Linked DNA regions of Mus musculus. The protein of the gene in region 1 binds, or shares a complex with, the protein of each later gene. Links are inferred from orthologs where the notes say so. Each region holds a gene or a part of one and is shown in the gene's direction. Other genes may lie near its edges. The genes, in order: Eif4e2, Gigyf1, Tars, Gigyf2 and Eif4ebp1.

Region 1 (3,510 bases):
CCTTGATTTGGTTCCTATTTTATATGGTTCTCTTTCTGTCATTAGCTTTTGGCCTATTTTTAAGTGTTTCTAAACTACCTAATTTGATGTTTGGAGATCCATCCCTTAAACATGTTTGTTTTATGTTCGTGTGTGTTGCTAGAGATAAGAGTGGAAAATTAAAGTTCCTCCCTGCACAGAATTTGCCTAGTTCGGACGGTGTTGGGAATTACCTGGACAGGAACTTGGAAAGCTAACCCAAGTGTCACTTAGTCTGAACATGAATTGGATAGGTTAGCCTGCAGAGTGCTGCTGCTTTAAGCCAGGAAGAACCGATTCTGAAAAGCAGGCCTGCCTTTGCTTAGGTCTCTGCTTATGTGCAGAGAGGAGATGAAAGCAGCCTAGGTATGGGGGCACACACTCTTAAAATCCCAGGTAGACGAAGCTCTGAGTTTAGTGCCTGCCTGGTATACATAGTGAGTTCCAGGACAGCCATGGCTACATAGAGAGACCTCTTTTCATAAGATGTGAGAGAAAGGGAAGGGGGGGGCAGGAGAGAGAAAGCAATGTTTATTGGTAGAGTCCTTGCCTTCTGTGAAGGAGGTGCTGGATTTTATTACCAGCACAGCCAAAACTAAAATAAAGGTCAGGGCGTAAAAAGACAAAATGAAGTCCATTGAGGTTCCTATTTGCTGGCTTAGAAAGGAGTCTGAGATGGCTTCAAAATGATAATAGCATTGTTTCTTCTCTGCCTTAACTGTTTTTGTTTTCTTTTTGTTTCCTAGTAGTGTCTAAAAGAAAACCACTAGAAAAGAAAGGAATAGAACACTTTTCTTGGGCTGGCAAAAATGAGAAGTCCTAGGTGACTGTCCTTCTTCAACCAAACTCTAGTAAAGTGACTTTAGAGGCTGTAGTAGGAATTAGGAGCTGAAGAGAAAACAAAAGGGCTTGTGTCCCTAGATGAGACTGAAGCAGTAGAAAAATCCATGAGATATTCTTGTTCAAATGAATGGACACAGCAGGGTGGAAGGGGTTCATTGGGAACAGGCAGGGAATGTTTGTAGACATGCTAACAGAATGGCCCTTTGCACCTAGTTGAGCCTTTGTATACCTTATCTCTCCTCAGTTCTTGGAGGACAGGTACTCTGGTACCCGGTGAGCTGCTTGGTAAATGTTGGTAATTTTTAATCCATGGGTCTTGTGTCCAAGGCAGGCTCGACTTGAAAAGGAAACCAAGCAAAACAAGTTTAACCAAGGGAAAGGAAGTTTACTAAGCACTGGTGATACCTCTGAGCAGCAGACAGATGGCAGTGTCCAGCTCTGCTTGCTCATCAGTTCCAACACCTTTCTCTTTCTGGATTGCCTATTCCTTTTGCTCCGAGTCTTGATTCTTTCATGGACCCTAAAGCTGGCCTAGCTTCTAAATTCTTGGTCTTTGCTCTCTTGGATGAAATCAATGTAGAGAGAGAATTCTTTATTTTGAAAAAAGGTTCTGAGGCCTAGGTTACTAGGCAGACCAGACTACCCTTTGCTCCTATGCCTTACCTAGTTGGGTCTTGACCAGGGTGGGGATGGGGAGATCTGTATCACAGGGAATGGCTACATGAGTATCTCTTGCAGTATGGCTGCCTGTTAGGCAGAGCAGGTACCCCAACACATGACTTATTCATCCTATTATTTATAGGTGTATTTTATACATTAGGTATTAAAGATTCCAGTGTGTAGGTTCCCGTGGTTGAACTCAGTCTGCAAGCTTGGGCACAAGAGCCCTTACCCTCTGAGCAAGCTGAGCAGATTGAGCAAATGCACTTTTATCTTTGTGCACTAACATGCTTGTTTTTGTCTGCATCTGGTGGGTCATAGGTGGTTTCATGTTTGACTCTACTTATGAGACAACATATCCACGCCTCCTTTTGTTTTCATTTAGCCTTTATTCTGTGTCATCTTGTTTTGGGTGTCAGTGATACTGAGATGAAGTATGATATTGCTCTAAAGAAACCTCAATGTCTTGAAGAAGAAACAGGCAGGAAGGATTTGCACCTTGAGCTAGAAGCGAGGTGTTTGCCAGTGGGAAGAGTTGTTGGAGAGGAGACACAATTTCTAAATTTTTGTGAAAAGCACTTTGTGTTGTGTGCTACTCTAGAGGATAGGTAATTAGGAAGTTGGCAGTGGAGCATCTTAAGGTTGCAGGTTCAATAACAGACTCACACCTAGAAAGTGTAGAGGATGGATGGAGAAGAGAGACTGACATCAGACCTGCTTATAGACTGATGATGACCTATTTGACTGGAGAAGGATAATGGCCTAAGGTGTGGAGTGAGGACAGCTAGGAGAGAGATGGGAAGGAGCAGTATACAGATGGGCAAGTTTAACTTTCAGATGTCAGGGGAATTATTTGTCCAGAAATTCTCATTACGAGTTTGTCTTTGATAACAAAAAACATCTCTTTAACTGCTTTGTTATGCTGTTGGAAAACAGAAAGCTGTTCGCTAGAGTTCATGGGGTAGCTAGTTTAATAGTTTTTTTTAATAGTTTTTTATTTAATATTCCTGGTTTGCTTTTCCTTTTGCCTTTCAGATATGCCTCACAGGCCTGGGATTCAAGTGACTTGGGCTATGACCTTGTGGCTTTGTTAGGTAACTCAAATAGTTTAGTCATGGAATGACATTATTTTGCTTTCCTATGTAGCTTAAAAGATGATGACAGTGGAGACCATGATCAGAATGAAGAAAACAGCACACAGAAAGATGGTGAGAAGGAAAAAACAGACCGAGACAAGAGCCAGAGCAGTGGCAAGAGGAAGGTATGTTTGGGGTGATGATACAGGTGTAGTGAGCCTTGGTTATCTCATGGAGTCTCTCTATAGCAGATTCCCTCTTTTGGAATCTCTGATTGTTCTTAAAACAAGGTTGAGGGGGCTGGACAGACTTCTCATCCCTGTGCTCTTGTGCACACTCTCAAACCCATACACAAGAAGATCAGGGACTAGGATGTCACTCTGTGAGTGGTATATATAGTATAAGGCCTTGAGTTCAATCCCTAGCACTGAAGAAAGAGGAAAGGTATGGAGAGGGAGCAAGAGGGTAAAAAGGAGGAGGACATGGGTCACTGGGTGTGGTCAAAGCCTGGTAGAGATGTGTGGAAATGTCACAGTGAAATCCTTAGTATGCCAGTCTTTAGTAGTGGATGTTGGGGAGGTGGTACTGGAGTGGGCATATGTTGAGATAATGAATACCCATCGTGTTATGAGAAAGGCAGAAAGTTGTGTTACAGCAACTTAGAATCAGCTAACTAGCAAAGAGTATACTGTGTGAGCAGACTTCAGAAGGTTGCAAATAATTGAAATTATGGTATTATTTTCAGTTGTGAAGGTGATAAAGAAATACACTTTAAAAAAAAACAAAAACAAAAATCCACAGTCTGGTTGTGTAGCCCTGACTAGCCGGGAACTCAGTCTGATAATGAAGATGATCTCTGACAGTTTTCTGTCTCAGCCTCCCAGTACTAGGATAAAGATTGTGCCACCACATC
Region 2 (4,039 bases), on another chromosome or scaffold:
CTCCCACCTTGACCTTTTTTCTGAGGGGCAGTTGTTGATGTAGGGTAGGAGTTTAGGTCTTGGTTCCTATTCCTGTGGCCACACCCACCTGCTCAGAGCCTACCGTGAGTGGAGTGAGTACCTGTGGCTCTGGAAGTCCTGTCTGCTTAGTTTGTGCTGAAACCCAGCCCCCTCAGACAGATGCCCTAAGTTTTCTTTAGAGAAGTTGGCTTGTTCCAAGGCTTGTCATACTGCTTTATAAAATGGACCATTCCTCTATAGAACATAAGCGGCCCCAATGCCTGCCTGTCTTATTTTTTGAGACAGGGTCTCATATAGCCCAGGCTGGCCCTAAACTCTTATGTAGCCAGAAGTGACCTTAAATTTCTGAACCTCCTGCCTCTCTCTATCTCCCAAGTGTTTGGGATCAAAGCCGGGTGCTATATTCCTTGTTGGTGTGGTGTTGGGGGCAGAGTCTAGGGCTTCAAGTATGGTGAATAAGTGCCCCCCCACCCCCAGCCAAACTATATCCCCAGTCCAGTGATTGTTTCAGAATAGTCTTACTGTGTGCTGTCCCAGGTTGTCCCAGGAACTTGCAGTCCTCTTGCCTTTGTCTCCTGAGTGCTGGGATTACAAACATGGGCATTACAAAGCAGGCTTAAGTTTTGTGCTGAAAATCCTCACTGTATTCTGGGCACACTGGTTACCTCAGCCATCCCATGAGAGCACCTCTGACCAATGACCACATTGTCCCTTCTCCTGAGTGCACTGTACCCGGCAGCTGTGGGCCAGGGGCTGGGAGACTGTCTAATTCACTGGGGTAACCTCTCTCTTCCTCCTCTTCTCCCTAAGGATCTCTCCCAGATGTGAAAGTTTCTCCCAGGCACTTAGAGGCTAGAGCTAGTTGCTTGGGGATCCTAGTTCAGCGCAGCCCGGCCCCTGTGAGACCAGAGAGCCCTTGTTTCCCTGGACAGAACTGTCAGGTGAGTGTTGGGCCACCAGAGGGCGTCCCACTGAGCTGGAAGGGGCTCAGGCTTCAGTGTTCCCTCACTCCCTAGGACTCTCCCCTACCCTGACTCAGCTTTGGTTAACTCATGGTGTGAGTGGTCACCTGTCTGGTGTAGGTGAGTTCAATGCCAAAATGTCTCACCGTCTAGATGGAGGCCTGTCACTGGCCCAGCAAAGTGCTGGCGCCATGACTGATCTGCCCTGCACCAGCTTACTCATGACTTGTCTGTGACCCTACAGGTATTTGGACAGTACTCTCCTGGTCCTGTCTCTGCCATTCATCCTTGACCTTTGAGAAGCATCGAAGCTCCACAATGGCAGCAGAGACACTCAACTTTGGGCCTGAGTGGTGGGTCACTTAAGCTCTGGTCCAGGGGAAAAGCTGGTGTAGGGGTGAAGGGCCACGTGGACCTCCGTCTCCCCTTTTTTTTTGTACCTGTTTTAGGCTGAGAGCCCTTTCGAGTGGTGGCAGCGTGGCCTCTCCACCCCCATCTCCTGCCATGCCCAAATACAAGCTGGCAGATTACCGCTATGGGCGAGAGGAGATGCTGGCCCTCTATGTCAAGGAGAACAAGGTGAGGTTTGGGATGGAGCACAGCTCCCTCGCCCATTTGCCTTATCTGTGAGTTGCCTCTGAGTGGTTAATATATTGGGCCTCCTGCCCCATCCCAGGTCCCGGAGGAACTACAGGACAAGGAGTTTGCTGCAGTGTTACAAGAGGAACCGCTGCAACCTCTGGCTCTGGAGCCTCTGACTGAGGAGGAGCAGGTGGGGCTGGGCCTAGGGTGGAGGAGGGAGGGGCTGGGCTTGGGAAGATGGGGGCTGACTGGGTGACGGTCCTCACTGCCATCCCTGGCTCCCTCCTCAGAGAAACTTCTCGCTGTCGGTGAACAGTGTGGCTGTGCTGAGACTGATGGGGAAAGGGGCTGGGCCCCCTTTGCCTGCCACCTCCCGTGGCAGGGGCAGCACTCGGAGCCGAGGTAGACAGCGACTCCTCGTATTTTTTAGGGGAGGAGGTGGGCAGAGTTGGAGTGGGTGGTGGCAAGGATACAGAGGGACACTGGAGGGTCCCAGACCCAGTGTAAACCCTCTTCTTCAGGGCGAGGCCGTGGTGACAGCTGCTTTTACCAAAGAAGCATTGAGGAAGGCGATGGGGCCTTCGGAAGGAATCCTCGGGAGATCCAGCGAAGCCAAAGCTGGGATGACAGGTGGGGATGACAAGATGGAGAGAGACGGGCAGAACGGAGGAGTGCCACTGAGCTGGAATAGGGTGACTAGAGGGACCAGAGACACCCAGCAGGCCAGCCCTGATCAGAGCCCCTGGGTCGTGTCTACCCAGCCTAGCACCCCCTGGGGAAGGGTGATGTTTGACCGACGCCTTTCTTCACAGAGGCGAGAGGCGGTTTGAGAAGCCTGCAAGGAGGGATGGAGGTATGAGCGTGTTGATGATGGTGGCCAGCATGGTCGGGAGGCAGTGGAGGTGGGGTTCCCAGGTAGGGGGATGGGGGGGGAGCTAATAGGAGTAAGCTCTCTTGAGGTTCATCCATGCTTACTGTTTGTCTCCCCTGTGCCAGTACGGTCTGGCTTTGAGGAGGGAGGGGCTGGCCCAAGGAAGGAGCATGCACGCTCAGACAGTGAGAATTGGCGCTCACTTCGAGAGGAGCAAGAGGATGATGGCAGCTGGAGACTTGGGGCGGGACCCCGGCGAGATGGTGATCGCTGGCGTTCCACCAGCCCTGGTAAGATGGGGGCTAGGTGGGGTCAGGATATCCTGGCGATACTAGGGAAGAGGTGCCATGCACGCGAGGAACAAGAAGATCCCAGGGGAAGCCTGGTGGACTGGAGAAGGTGGGGCTTGGCTTGGCTGGGCACTAGAGGATTTTTGCCCTTCTCCAACTTTCTCTTTCAGATGGTGGTCCCCGCTCTGCTGGCTGGCGGGAGCATGGGGAGCGGAGGCGCAAGTTTGATTTTGATTTGCGAGGGGAGCGCGGAGGGTGTGGTGAAGAGGATGGGCGGGTTGGGGGCGGCAACTCTCACCTCCGGAGATGCCGGGGGCTCGATGGCTTTGAAGATGACAAGGATGGGCTCCCCGAGTGGTGCCTGGAGGATGAGGATGAGGAGATGGGCACTTTCGATGCCTCCGGAGCCTTCCTGCCCCTTAAGGTACTCATCTCAGGGGCCAGTGGGGTGGTGGCAGCTGCCCCCTGGCTGCCCTCCCACTGTGTCCACTCTGCCCTCCCCACACAGAAGGGCCCCAAGGAAGCCATCCCTGAGGAGCAGGAGCTTGATTTCCGGGGCCTGGAGGAGGAGGAGGAGGAGGAGGAGGAGCCGTCAGAAGGGGTGGATGAAGAGAGGCCTGAGGCAGGTGAGCCCTCATAGCGGTGCAGGGACAAGGCCTGAGAAGCTCGGGCTGGGGCAAGTTGGCAGAGATGTGTTGCTAAGCTGGCTGCTGACTGGCCGCCCATGTGTCAGGTCAGGCCGCTTAGAAACGTTCAGGCGGGAGTGGTGAGACGGTTTGGCACGTGAAAGGCTTGCCACCAAGCATCATGCTGTGAGTTCAATCCCTGGAACCCACAGGAGAGAGGGGAGAAGAACCATTTCCACCAGGTTGTCCTCTAGCCTGCAGCACGTGTGCTGGGGTGGGTGGCGGGCCGGGGCGGGCCCAGGCAGGTGTGCAGAGAAATCTTTGTTAGGTGTGAGCACACAGCCCCTCACCACATGTAGGTCCTCCCCTCTCTCAGCGCAGGACCAGGGCCAGCGTGCTTAGTGTGGACTGCGTGGTTCTCTATGTCTGTGCTCGTGCTTGGTTAGGGCTTGACCAGAGTCAGAAGGATAGACTCACTACCCAAGGTCACACGTGTTGACTTGCACTGCCTCAGATACCACCCCCTGCAGTTGTCTTTTCCTGTGTATGTGGGCAGGTCAGAGGACAAGTGTCCTTGCCTTTCACCTTGTATATGGTAGGATCTCTGTTCTTTGTCTGTGCCAAGCTAGGCTTACAAACTTAATGGCGGATCTCCTGTCCTTTCCGTGTTTCCATAGGAGAACTGGG
Region 3 (3,258 bases), on another chromosome or scaffold:
ACTGGCAGCACTACAGCGAGAACATGTTCTCCTTTGAGGTGGAGAAGGAGCAGTTTGCACTTAAGCCCATGAACTGCCCGGGACACTGGTATCAAGCGCTCTGTGTTTTTCTTTCTTTTTGCTAAACTTACCTGGATGTCTTTATGTTGAGTGTATGCTACATGTCTGGGTTGCTGCAGAGTTGGGATGAGGGTGCTGTGGCTAGAGTTATAGGTGGTTGTCAGCAGCCGTGTGGGTGCTAGCAACTGAGCCTGGGTCCTCTGGAAGAGTAGCAAGGCTCTTAACCTTTGAACCGTCTCTCCAGCCCTGCAGCTCTGCATTGATAGGGAAGATGTTCCTGTGCTATAAATCATTCTGGATTGCTTTAGCCCTTTGAAAGAGGCGTGTGTGTGTGTGTGTGTGTGTGTGTGTGTGTGTGTGTGTGTACATATACAGTATCAGTGTAGAAAGGAGACTAAGAAGAGGTCTGTGGATCCTGTGGAGAACAGAGTAGAGTAGTGGAATATCTATGCCATGAAGCAGAAGGGAAAACTCTGCCTTGGATTGAGAAAGGCGGATGAAAAGTGACTTCAGGGAGCTCCGAGGGTGTAGATGAGTGTGTTCATGTGTGCAGCTCTGTGGACAGGTCATTCCGGCCGAGCTGCTAAGAGAAGTGCCTTTAAGAATCTGACTTGTACACACCAGGGAAGCAGAGCCCTTCACTTAGTTCTCACAGCATTAAGTTTCTGAGGCACCCGGGCCCAACTAGAGCAAGCCTGATATTAGTTTTCAGTGTTAGAAGTAATGTGTGTGCAGCTAAAACTATTTCTTCATCAAGTCTTCCTAGTAACTGACCATAGTCTTCGTATGAATGGAAAGCTACGTACAGGGCCTGCCTTAGACCTCAGCGGTACATTTGCTTTATCCTCTCTTAGCCACAGTTGGTTGCTCTGTAACTCAGGCAAGTGCTTCTATTGCTCTGTGAGGCCTGGGGCTTGAAAGATGTTGCTTGTGACTGACTAAGATCAGGGGCTTTCTGACAGCCTTTCAAGCTGTTACATGTAATATTTGAGGAATTGTGTTCTTGTGAACAATCAAAATGGCTAATTGTATTGTCACCCGTGAGTCTCTGAAAGGCCTCTCTCTCAGGTGCTAGGCAAGCACTCTGCTACGGGCTGCATCCTTCACCCTGACCTTAGGGCTTTGCCTTGCTTTCTCCTTCAGCCTGATGTTCGATCACCGGCCACGGTCCTGGCGAGAGCTGCCCCTGCGGCTAGCTGACTTTGGTGTGCTGCATAGGAATGAGCTCTCGGGGGCTCTCACCGGGCTCACACGGGTCCGAAGATTCCAGCAGGATGACGCACACATCTTCTGTGCCATGGAGCAGGTATACTGCCCTGTGGAGCAGTGCTCTGACAGAAGGGTTACAGGTGAAGGGAGATAACCGTTTCTCTTTCTTCCTTAAGATTGAAGATGAAATCAAAGGTTGTTTGGATTTTCTTCGCACAGTATATAGTGTCTTTGGATTTTCATTTAAATTGAATCTTTCTACTCGCCCAGAAAAATTCCTTGGAGATATTGAAATATGGAACCAAGCTGAGAAAGTGAGTGCTGGTTTTGGTGTGTTTGAGAACTTACACAGTGCTAGGAAGTCTTCTTAGATAGATGGGGCAAAGAAAAATGGCAGTTTCTGGTGTCGAGTGAGGGAATGTTTTCTGTAAGGTCTTCCTGTCCTTCAGAGTGGACCCAATGCTTTCGGACTCTGTCAGCTCCTGAGCTGTAGCTTTCAAGCACGCTTTGATTAGGAGGATGGCGTGAAACACCCAGGGGCTTTATTCCGAATCAGGTGGGAAGAGGGGGCATTGCAGCTGAACGACAGCTCACATCCTTTCCGCTTTATCTGTAGCAACTTGAAAACAGTTTGAATGAGTTCGGTGAGAAGTGGGAACTAAATCCTGGAGATGGAGCCTTCTATGGGCCAAAGGTCAGTAGCCGAGAATACTCGGGTAATGCGAGTTCTAGTTGTGCGTAAGAAACATTACTTGGAGTTGGGAAGAAGAAAATAAAAGAAAGGTAAGAAGAGCTGATCATAACCCAGTGCTTGCTTTGCAGATTGACATACAGATAAAAGATGCCATCGGTCGCTACCACCAGTGTGCAACCATCCAGCTGGACTTTCAGTTGCCCATCAGGTTTAACCTTACTTACGTCAGGTGAGCTGCTGGTATCTGCCCTGAGCCCTCTGCAGGCTCTGCATATACATACACATATACATACATATATACATATGATAAAACAAATCCCTTTTCTTCCATAGCCACGATGGCGATGATAAGAAAAGGCCAGTGATTGTTCACAGAGCCATCCTGGGGTCGGTGGAAAGAATGATTGCCATCCTCACAGAAAACTATGGGGGCAAATGGTAAGGGTCTTCTGTTGGTTTTCTCATCCAGTTAAATCCAGAAGAAACGTCTCCTTCTAAACTACACGTAGGAAGTCGGGAGGGAGGTGATTCTAATCGGTCACGTCTAACACGCTCGCTGTTGTTTTTCCTCCCTAGGCCTTTCTGGCTCTCTCCTCGCCAGGTGATGGTGGTCCCAGTGGGACCGACATGTGATGAATATGCCCAAAAGGTAATCCTTAAGTCGGATTTTTCTGACCGTTTGAATCTGTTCTTAAGCTTTTTGCAGTGGGAATCTTATCATATAGTCAACAATGGCCTTGGACTGAGCTTCTTGTCCTAGTCCCTGAATAGGTGGTATTGCCAGTGTGTGCCACACACCCATCCTTGTAACTATGCTTCTAAGATGTTGAATTGGCGAGCCATGTCTCCTTGTCAAATTGCGGGCTCACTGCTTCAAAGACTGTAGCGTCTATGTCCGATAGGCCTGAGTGTTACATCTTTAGAGCTTTGTCTTTGTGGTTCTGTGACCCATGTATTTGCTTAGTGTTTCAAATATACTTGTCTATCTTAACATTTGGTGTTATAAAGAAATTAATTAGGACGCATAGCCTAAACTGTATTAGAATTACACATCCCACTGAAGTGCCTGATATTTGCTGATTTGTTCATTTGTTAATGTAAATTTCTTCAGTGGCTTAAACTTTTTCCATCTTGCTGTCATGGCTGGCCAGTGTCTTGCCCTTCTAGCAGTTGTGTAAACATCAGGGTGAACTTCACACCTTAAAGACCAGAACAATTAGTTCTGCTCTATGATTGCTTCATGTTAAAGAATCACACATGCTTAACAGGCAGTCAGTAAAGAAGGCTGGGCATGG
Region 4 (4,003 bases), about 110 kb from region 1:
AATTTAATGCTCTTTTATACAGTCTCTCTTTGAAAGGGAATCAAGACTCAGGAAGGGAGGCAGAGGAGGAAGTTGGTATATATATATATATATATATATATATATGTATGTATGTATGTGTGTGTGTGTGTGTGTATTTTTTTTCCAAGTGTTGAATCCAGGGCTCCCAAACGACTAGGTTGGGAGTCTGCCACTGTGTTCTGAAACTTAAGTTTATGTTGATGGGAAGACCTATGATAAATGCTGGAGGATATTTTGCAGTGATTGTGTGAAACTGAGTGGATCCCAAACACCAAAGGTAGTAGAAAGGCAGGAAAAGACTAATGGTCCCAGAAAGACCCGGGTGACTTGAAATGGTAGATGTACCAGGTTTAGCAAATCAAAGTATATAGTATGTCCAGCTAAACATGAGTTTCAGAAAGACAGCAGATTAATTTCCTGTATTCTGTATTGCCGGGTTTACTATTCGTTATCTCGCAACCCTAAAATGGGAAGGCAGTATATATAAGGGGGTTGTAGGTCCACATGTAGTGGAAGGGTGTAGTAACTTTTTTTTAGTTTTTCGAGACACGGTTTCTCTGTATAGCCCTGGCTGTCCTGGAACTCTGTAGATCAGGCTGACCTTGAACTCAGAAATCGATCTGCCTCTGCCTCCCAAGTGCTGGGATTAAAGGTGTGAGCCACCACTGCCTGGCTAGGTGTAGGAACTTTTAAAACCTTCCCAGCTGTCACATTCCAGTACTCCAGGATGAATTTCCAGTTCTATAAGAAAGGAAACTGCTTTGAATTTCAGCTTTACCATTTGCCCCATGATGGACCAACTGGCAGGAAAATGCTAGACCAAATGCTGTGGAAAAGTTCTAGCTTGGAAAACCAGCTCATAAATGATGTGGAGATTTTTGTACTGCAACCGGGCACTGGATTGGGTGCATCGGACGGTGAGTCATAGGGCCTCTGGCCAGGCTCCAATTAGGGACACCAGTTCAACTCTAGGGCCATAGGAGATGCAGCCAAAGGCCCCACTGTGCGCCTGCGCTACTCAGGCTCCGTCCTCGCCCGGCCCTGCATCCGGGTCTCAGGGAGGGGCGTGTCCGAGGGGAGGGGCAGGCCGTCGAGGAAGGGAACGATGTCGTGGGAAGCTGGAGAGCAGGGAGGGAGTGAGGCGGGGATGTAGGCGGGGCGGGGGGCGGCGCGGCGCGCGGGGTCACGTGACGTGCGTGGCGACGTGTCGGCCATCTTGTGTTGTTGAGGCTGAGGATTGACTTGGGTTCTGAGAGACTCCTGTCCCGGACCGCAGGTAACCAGTGGCTCGGTGTGTGTCTCCCCTGCCCGCGGCCATCCCGCGCCCAGTCCCCGCCATAGCGCCCCGAGCTGCCGTGGCCCGGCGCCCACCGTCGCGTCCCCGCCGCTCCGGCCCGAGCCGGCCGCATGGACACACTCAGGCTGCCCGGCAGCGGCCACGGCCGCTGCCGGCTGGGGGCGTCAGACCTGGGGACAGGGCAGGTGCGAGGTCAGCAGGAGCCTCCTCCCGTGCGAGGGTCCCGGCAGTCCAGGGAGCGTCCCGGCCGAGGGCAGCCCCCTGCTTTCGCCCCCGTGGCATCGCGGGGGAAGCCGAGGAGAGGAGGCGGGAGGCGGGGTGGGCAGTGTCAGGCCGGAGGGTTCGCCTTCCGCTGCCCGCTCCTCGGGGCTGGTCGCCCGCACAGCCTCGGGGTACCCCGGCTAACAGCTGCTGCGAGCCGACAGCTGCTCCTGCCGGCGCTCCTGCCCGCACCTGCCCCAGGGAGGTGCGCCCTTGCCTTCTCCACCGAGCATCTGGACTGGGGAAGACTGCTTCTAGGGCTGGAGGACTGGTCTTGAGCAGGCCCCAGGCAAGGTGGAGTCATGATCTGATCCTGGGACTGAGAGGCTTGGGAAAGTAGAGCCCCGGGCAGCCCCGGGGACCCGAATGTTCATACCGGCTTGAAATGGGCAAGCAGTTTCCCACGAAGCACTCTTGAACACTTTGGTTTTGTAGCTGAAATATAAATCAAGCCAGCAAGTAAGGAAGGGTGTGAAAGGAGCTGATTGTGTGACCGCGTTTGGGAAGCAGTAACGTTGCTTTGCATTTATCTAGTACGGTCTCCCCTCACCTCCAGTTTTCTCGAAAGTCAAAGCACTTAAACACACCTAGTGGTTCTATTAGGAAGGTAAGTATTCCAACATAACTTAAGAAATGAAGGGACTCAATCAGTGATGGCTTCCCACCTAGTCCCATCTACCTTGAATTATAGGTAATTATGTTTCAGAGTGTTGTATACAGGGATTGTAGTCTTCCTTATGTAGTTACTCCTCTTTAGTAACAAATGACTTCCTAAATTACAAAAACTATTATCCTACTTTTTGTACATGAGTTTTCATCCTTTTTTGTGGCTCTGACTGGCAGAATTTTTCCTTTTGGTTAGAACATATACTTTGTCTTCATTTAATGATATTTCCCTAATGTAGCAGCTTTTAGATTGCCTAGACTGGGATATGTACTTCACTGTCACATAAGAAGACACTAGGAAAACATTTAGAAGTGACATATGTCTGGAAAAATACCAACGTTGAAGATGTTGGTGATTTGCTAGAAAGAAAAAGACCATACCTTTTTTGGTACTTGACAAAGGATTTAGAGTTTTGTGGCTGGGGAAGAAGAGATTATGTACTGTATGCTGCCATTCTTGTCTTTTCCTTTCTTTTCTGTTTGACTACAAGTACTACAGTATGTAGTGTGAATGCTGAGGGACAAACATTTCTGTTTGTGTTGCGCTCACTTCTGGACATCTAAATACTTAAGTAAAAATATACAAATACTTCTTGATGTGATGATTGGGCTGTGTCCCTTAAATTGATTGAAAGTTGAAGTATGTAAGCTGAAATTGCATTTAAAGCTATCAGTCTGCTGCCCATTAATAACAGCAAAGCCTCCTATAGAATCTTGATCATCTCCCGCTTGTATGGTTAGATTTTATGTGATTTTGTGACTCTCTGGTCCTAGCCAGCAATGCCAGGGAGTATTGTACTACATACATATTGTTAACTCAGGAAGAAATCATAATTAGAAATATGAAGAATGATTTCTACTGAGTCCATATTGTTTTTACCTCATAGTAGAGTGCAAACTCTTGTTAAGTTGAACATTTCTGTGTAGGGACCATCTGTTTATGTAGGAGTAACGGGAAAAAGAAAAAGAAGAGAGATAGGGGGACTGGATAACAATTGTGGGAAGGGTTAATTTTTAAATTTAGTCCTGTGAGGAGACTTTACAGGTAAGCTAAAATTTGAGGAAACACCTGATAGGTAGAGGGCAGGGTCCTTCACCAAGAGGAAAAGAGGGCAAAGATCCTGAGATGAGAAGATAAAACTTAGGTGGGACCTATCTAAGGCTTGCTAGGAAGAGGACTGAGGCTAACTAGTCTGGGGAGACTGAAAGAAACTGATCAGATGTATTTACCCACCTCTTTGGCAGGAAGATGAGGTGGACCATTCACTGCTCTGGAGTCTTTTTTTTTTTTTGGGTGGGATGGGGTGGGGTGTTTCCAAGACAGGGTTTCTCTGTGTAGTCCTGGCTGTCCTGGAACTCACTCTGTAGACCAGGCTGGCCTTGAACTCAGAAATCTGCCTGCCTCTGCCTCCCAAGTGCTGGGATCAAAGGCGTGCACTACCATGCCCAGCTGGAGTGTGTGTGCGAGCAATCCAGGCTGACCTGAAATTGCCCTTCTCTTACCTCAGTCTCCCCAGTTTCTGAGATCTATGGAAAAGTCTTAAGAAAATCAGGTTTTATAGACTTGAGCCAAGATCCCTCCTTTCCCGTTCATTTGGAAAACTCGGGATGTTCATCTATTTCAGGAATTATAATGGATTTCTTAAAAGTAAGTTTTTAGATGTGATTGGTGTTAGACTGCCTGGAAATGCTTTTTAAAAGGAATGGCTTTTTGTTTTGTTGGTTTTGTTTTTTTGTTTTTGATTTTTCCAGACAGGG
Region 5 (3,994 bases), on another chromosome or scaffold:
CCCCGTGTTTTTTTTTCTCTCTCTCTTTCACGGTTTAAGACAGCGTCTTAACATGTCTGGCCCAGGCTGTGCATCAAACTCGCCACAACCATGTCTGCCCTCAGCTTTTCTGTAATGCTCCTGTCTCAGTTTCTCTGAGCTAGCATGCCCAGCTTAAGTCTCTCTCTCTTCTTTCTGTGTCTGAGACAGGGTTTTGCTGGGTAGCACAGGCTAGAATCCTCCTGCTTCAGTCTCCTCATTGCTGGGACAAGTGTGGACCACTTGAATGCTGAACTTGGATGTTGGACTTTATAAACAGGCCCTTCCCTGAAATCGTAGTTCCAGGAAATCTGGGGCCTCTAGAACAACCAAACAAGGCAAAAAGCAAAACCCCTTTCAACATGCTTCTCCCAAAGGGAGGAAGGTGGCCCAGTGTGTTCTCTCAGGCCAGCCCGGACAACAGTGAGAACAGGGTTCTGGCCCTCCCTCGGCTGTCAACTTGGGATCCTCCTAGGGCTTCAGCCTCCTCACGGTCGGGATTATAGGCATTTCCTACCATATGGAGATTGATTGACACAGACACTGTAACCGATTGGACATGCATTTTCCCTTCCCTCCCTAGTGACTACCAGACAAAGTGCTGGAGTGGAACCCAGTCCAAGTACTATGCGGATCTTTGACCGGTTAACTCTAATCCTCCCAGCCCACAGTACGCAGAGCTTCGATCCTGCCCATTCCTCATCAGATTTATATTCGGTTCCTAGCTGGCTGGCTAGGTCCCTCTTACTCTTCCACTACTCCTTCCAAGTCCAGGAATGTGCGCTGTGCAGCCGCTGCTCTGACTCCTAAAAACTGTAAAACTGTAAAAGCTGTAGAAACGTTAAGAATGGCGAAGGATCAGCCCACCCTTTCTTCTCTGAGGATCGGCCTGGGATCGAGAGGTCACATCCTAATATAGAAAGCAGGCGGTCTGGTGCGCTGAGACGCTGCCACCAAATCGGAGAGTTCTGCCACCGTCATCCCTACCTAGATCTTCCCAGAGTCTCGGGGAGGAACCAGGGAACCCAAGGGGCCCACACTGGGGTTCCTGCACTGGAGAGGACAGAAGCTGCCTAGGTCAGCAGCTGGGGAACCACTTGCAGGCAGCGGGCTGGGGCTGGGTGGGGCCGGGCGGACCGCAAGTCTCAGGGGGCGTGGAGCCCAGGCGGAAGGGGCGGGCCGGGCACGAGAAGGGCTGGGCCGAGGTGCCGCGGGGTTGCTGGAGGGTCGTGGGCGGCGTGCAGGAGACATGTCGGCGGGCAGCAGCTGCAGCCAGACTCCCAGCCGGGCCATCCCCACTCGCCGCGTAGCCCTCGGCGATGGCGTGCAGCTCCCGCCCGGGGACTACAGCACCACTCCGGGCGGCACGCTCTTCAGCACCACCCCGGGAGGTAGGCGCTGGCCGGGGTCACGGGCGACCTCGGGGGGCTGGAGGATACGTCGGGATCCGGAGTCTCACGTGCGACGGGGAGGGCGGCATTCGAGGGGTTCGGTAGCTGGCCAGAACGGACGAGGGGCGTCGGGAAAGCAGAAGGGTCACCGTCTCGGTTGCTCGCCTTCTGGGTGTGGTGGAGCGTGGTCTGGAACCCGGCTGCAAACTGCCTGCATTATTAGCCTTTTCCTGGGAGATACGGCAGAGTGCCCTGAGCATACAGATAGGCACTCTGCCAGGACCACCATGTGCTTAAGGGCGACCTCTGTGGGTGTCAGGGCAGTTTGGGGTGGGACAAGATCAGGGAAAGAGGCTGGCCTGGAGATTAAGTTTAGTTGATCTCCCTTGGAATAAGTGACGCCTGCACACTTTTTTTTTTTTTAACCTTTCCGGAGGCAGCCCTCTTTGCTTTGGACACTCGCTCATTAATGGAGGCTGGACGCTGAGGGTGCTTCTCTGCCACCTGTGGCTTGTGTTAAGAGAGAGATTCCTGCAGGGGCGGCGTCTGGTGTAGTGCAGAACAACACGTTCCTCGGGCCTGGGGGGCAGGGCACAGCGTTGAACTGGCCCAAGTGGCGGAGGATGAGGAAGAGGAAGCTGAGTTGGCGCGGGTGGGGGCCGGCCTCCGGGAACCAGGCATTCCCAGCTTGCCCTGGAGCCCCAGTATAGACGCTGATGAAACCTACCCGCCTGTTTGCATGATGAAATCCTCGTGGCTCACTACTTCCCTCCCAATCCTCGCGCCGCTCCCACCCACTTTTGCGCTTCTCCCCTCCCCGGTCTCCTCCCCCAACTACTCCTCTTACAACTCAAAAACAAGAGGAATCCTGGCGCGGTGATGAACCTTGGGCTACTGCTGGCGCAGCCGGGCCACATGCCTATTTTCTCGGGCAGCTGTCCCTGCACCAGGGAGCACAGCCAGATCCCAGAACCAAGGCACCGATGAAGGGATCTTGGAGCTCAGTCAGTGTCCACTGGGTTCTGTGATCTTCAGGACACAGCACCAAGGCCTCGCTGCTTGAGCACGTGTCTGTTGTGCATCGTCATGCTGAGTTCCTACACTCAGCAAGAAGTAGCAAGCAGGGCAGGGGGAGAAAGCCGGCTCCCTCTTATTAGAAACGGCCCAAAGGAAAAGTTTTCTGCAGGCTTCTGGCCTCCCGTTACTGGAGTTCTTCAACCCCGCTGGCCACTTTTTAGTTCACGCTGTTGCCCCTTTGTCTTTTCGCAGAACTTTGTGTTGAGCACAAAGTTTCACAGAGAGTTGAGTCCTTTTAGGCGAGGTGTGAATCAGGGTGTATTTTTTATTTTTATTTTTTATAGGCACCGATACAGACCTAAAGGCTCTGGGAAACGTTTATTTTCTCTCTTGCCCGTCCCTTTCTGGATGAACAGGTTAGCTGGGTAGCAATAGCCAGTACTGTTTGTAATGCACTCTGATCCACTTCTCACTGTGGTCTGCGAAGTGTCCGTTGGCAGACCAGGTAGTTCCCGTTGTCTTTGAAGAGGAAGGGGTTTCCTTAGAGTGTAGCATTTGCTTCTTAACTGAAAGAAAGCAGTGTCAGGTCCCCAAAGCCAGCTGGCCCTTGTCAGATTTTTGTTGCTGTTGTTGTTGTTTGTGTGTCACACAGTCCATAGCTCGAGGAAAGACTTGCTTGTTTCTGCCAAAGCCAGTTAATTTAAGGAGTGGGATCTTTTCCCAAAGGCCATTCATTCCAGGTCGCCTCTGCTAAAGGGCAGAAGCTTGACCCATTTGCTCCAGAATGTTTCTCATCACTTAGCACCCCAACGAGATACGGAATCCGAGTGCAGAGGTCTACAGGGTGAGTTACGGGAGAGCCAGGGCTACACAGAGATCCTCCTGCCTCACCTTACTGAGTGTTGGTAATTCCGGGGTTAACAGCTGTTGAATACCCTTTGGGCTATTTCTCTTTGCTCTCATCTATTCTCTGCAAATCCATCTAACTTTTGAATTTTCTTACTTGTATCAGGGGCCAGCTGGGAGTTCAAGGTCAAGTGAATCACCCTGAGGTCTACTCTGTCCTCTGGATCTATGGGCGTATAAAGCCCATGAGCTTGAATCAGGACTGAGTCATCTGCCTAACCATTATATGCTTGATTGGCTCACATTCCATTTTGAGTACTCAGGAGTTACAAGGGAAAGGGATAAACAACACACAAACAAAGCCCATACACGCACACACACACACACACACACACACACACATATACACATATATGTATACACACACACACACACATATATACACATATATGTATACACACACACACACATATATACACATATATGTATACACACACACACACACACACACACATATATACACATATATGTATACACACACACACACACACACACACACACACACACACACGGCTTTTTTCCTTGCCTTTCCAGATCTTTAGGAGTCTGGCAAAGTAGATCTCATATCCAGGCATAAAGTCAGGTTTCTTGAACTTAAGCTTCCTATACTCCTTGGCATGTGACTTGACCTGTAAGGGGCTGCAAGCTCTACATGAAGAAAT

Evidence for each region.
Region 2: the proteins of Eif4e2 (region 1) and Gigyf1 are in contact, whole or in part, in a crystal structure (PDB 5NVK), measured with the Homo sapiens proteins. The link is inferred for Mus musculus from reciprocal best matches to the Homo sapiens genes EIF4E2 and GIGYF1. Residues at the interface, in NP_004837.1 of Homo sapiens: His54, Pro55, Leu56, Gln57, Tyr64, Lys83, Gln84, Ile85, Gly86, Val91, Glu92, Trp95, Arg96, Phe97, Tyr98, Ser99, His100, Met101, Val102, Arg103, Leu107, Phe113, Ile137, Arg138, Leu139, Arg140, Gly142, Leu143, Ser145, Arg146; in NP_001362694.1 of Homo sapiens: Leu36, Ala37, Asp38, Tyr39, Arg40, Tyr41, Gly42, Arg43, Met46, Leu47, Leu49, Tyr50, Glu53, Asn54, Lys55, Val56, Pro57, Glu59, Leu60, Glu64, Phe65, Ala67, Val68, Leu69, Gln70, Asp71, Glu72, Pro73, Leu74, Gln75.
Region 3: the proteins of Eif4e2 (region 1) and Tars are in contact, whole or in part, in a crystal structure (PDB 5XLN), measured with the Homo sapiens proteins. The link is inferred for Mus musculus from reciprocal best matches to the Homo sapiens genes EIF4E2 and TARS1. Residues at the interface, in NP_004837.1 of Homo sapiens: His54, Pro55, Leu56, Gln57, Val91, Glu92, Phe94, Trp95, Arg96, Glu149, Asn150, Leu153, Leu156, Gly157, Glu158, Gln159, Met161, Val203; in NP_001245366.1 of Homo sapiens: Pro51, Glu52, Tyr53, Ile54, Tyr55, Thr56, Arg57, Met60, Tyr61, Ile63, Leu64, Glu67.
Region 4: the proteins of Eif4e2 (region 1) and Gigyf2 are in contact, whole or in part, in a crystal structure (PDB 5NVM), measured with the Homo sapiens proteins. The link is inferred for Mus musculus from reciprocal best matches to the Homo sapiens genes EIF4E2 and GIGYF2. Residues at the interface, in NP_004837.1 of Homo sapiens: His54, Pro55, Leu56, Gln57, Tyr64, Arg66, Asn81, Lys83, Gln84, Ile85, Gly86, Thr87, Val91, Glu92, Phe94, Trp95, Arg96, Phe97, Ser99, His100, Met101, Val102, Leu107, Phe113, Glu149, Asn150, Leu153, Leu156, Gly157, Glu158; in NP_001096616.1 of Homo sapiens: Leu38, Ala39, Asp40, Tyr41, Arg42, Tyr43, Gly44, Arg45, Met48, Leu49, Leu51, Phe52, Leu53, Asn56, Lys57, Ile58, Pro59, Asp61, Leu62, Asp64, Glu66, Phe67, Pro69, Ile70, Leu71, Gln72.
Region 5: the proteins of Eif4e2 (region 1) and Eif4ebp1 are in contact, whole or in part, in a crystal structure (PDB 5NVN), measured with the Homo sapiens proteins. The link is inferred for Mus musculus from reciprocal best matches to the Homo sapiens genes EIF4E2 and EIF4EBP1. Residues at the interface, in NP_004837.1 of Homo sapiens: Glu53, His54, Pro55, Leu56, Gln57, Tyr58, Tyr64, Arg66, Lys83, Gln84, Ile85, Gly86, Val91, Glu92, Gln93, Trp95, Arg96, Phe97, Ser99, His100, Met101, Val102, Leu107, Phe113, Glu149, Asn150, Leu153, Gly157, Glu158, Gln159; in NP_004086.1 of Homo sapiens: Arg51, Ile52, Ile53, Tyr54, Asp55, Arg56, Phe58, Leu59, Met60, Cys62, Arg63, Ser65, Val67, Thr68, Lys69, Thr70, Pro71, Pro72, Asp74, Leu75, Pro76, Ile78, Pro79, Gly80, Val81, Thr82, Ser83.

The regions. Positions count from the first base shown.
Region 1 is NC_000067.6:87,216,914-87,220,423, forward strand, and holds part of Eif4e2 (eukaryotic translation initiation factor 4E type 2), read left to right. Parts: intron 1-2,667; coding exon 2,668-2,782; intron 2,783-3,510. UniProt on the Homo sapiens protein: Recognizes and binds the 7-methylguanosine-containing mRNA cap during an early step in the initiation. Acts as a repressor of translation initiation.
Region 2 is NC_000071.6:137,517,651-137,521,689, forward strand, and holds the start of Gigyf1 (GRB10-interacting GYF protein 1), read left to right. Parts: upstream 1-1,229; 5' UTR 1,230-1,301; coding exon 1,302-1,336; intron 1,337-1,432; coding exon 1,433-1,562; intron 1,563-1,659; coding exon 1,660-1,755; intron 1,756-1,855; coding exon 1,856-1,967; intron 1,968-2,086; coding exon 2,087-2,195; intron 2,196-2,377; coding exon 2,378-2,418; intron 2,419-2,561; coding exon 2,562-2,726; intron 2,727-2,896; coding exon 2,897-3,150; coding exon of another isoform or gene 3,151-3,234; coding exon 3,235-3,352; intron 3,353-4,039. UniProt on the Homo sapiens protein: May act cooperatively with GRB10 to regulate tyrosine kinase receptor signaling. May increase IGF1 receptor phosphorylation under IGF1 stimulation as well as phosphorylation of IRS1 and SHC1.
Region 3 is NC_000081.6:11,386,406-11,389,663, reverse strand, and holds part of Tars (threonine--tRNA ligase 1, cytoplasmic), read left to right. Parts: coding exon 1-88; intron 89-1,203; coding exon 1,204-1,366; intron 1,367-1,445; coding exon 1,446-1,583; intron 1,584-1,885; coding exon 1,886-1,963; intron 1,964-2,091; coding exon 2,092-2,192; intron 2,193-2,296; coding exon 2,297-2,401; intron 2,402-2,539; coding exon 2,540-2,612; intron 2,613-3,258. UniProt on the Homo sapiens protein: Catalyzes the attachment of threonine to tRNA(Thr) in a two-step reaction: threonine is first activated by ATP to form Thr-AMP and then transferred to the acceptor end of tRNA(Thr).
Region 4 is NC_000067.6:87,325,796-87,329,798, forward strand, and holds the start of Gigyf2 (GRB10-interacting GYF protein 2), read left to right. Parts: upstream 1-1,202; 5' UTR 1,203-1,297; exon of another isoform or gene 1,298-1,312; intron 1,313-4,003. UniProt on the Homo sapiens protein: Key component of the 4EHP-GYF2 complex, a multiprotein complex that acts as a repressor of translation initiation. In the 4EHP-GYF2 complex, acts as a factor that bridges EIF4E2 to ZFP36/TTP, linking translation repression with mRNA decay.
Region 5 is NC_000074.6:27,259,142-27,263,135, forward strand, and holds the start of Eif4ebp1 (eukaryotic translation initiation factor 4E-binding protein 1), read left to right. Parts: upstream 1-1,185; 5' UTR 1,186-1,267; coding exon 1,268-1,409; intron 1,410-3,994. UniProt on the Homo sapiens protein: Repressor of translation initiation that regulates EIF4E activity by preventing its assembly into the eIF4F complex: hypophosphorylated form competes with EIF4G1/EIF4G3 and strongly binds to EIF4E, leading to repress translation.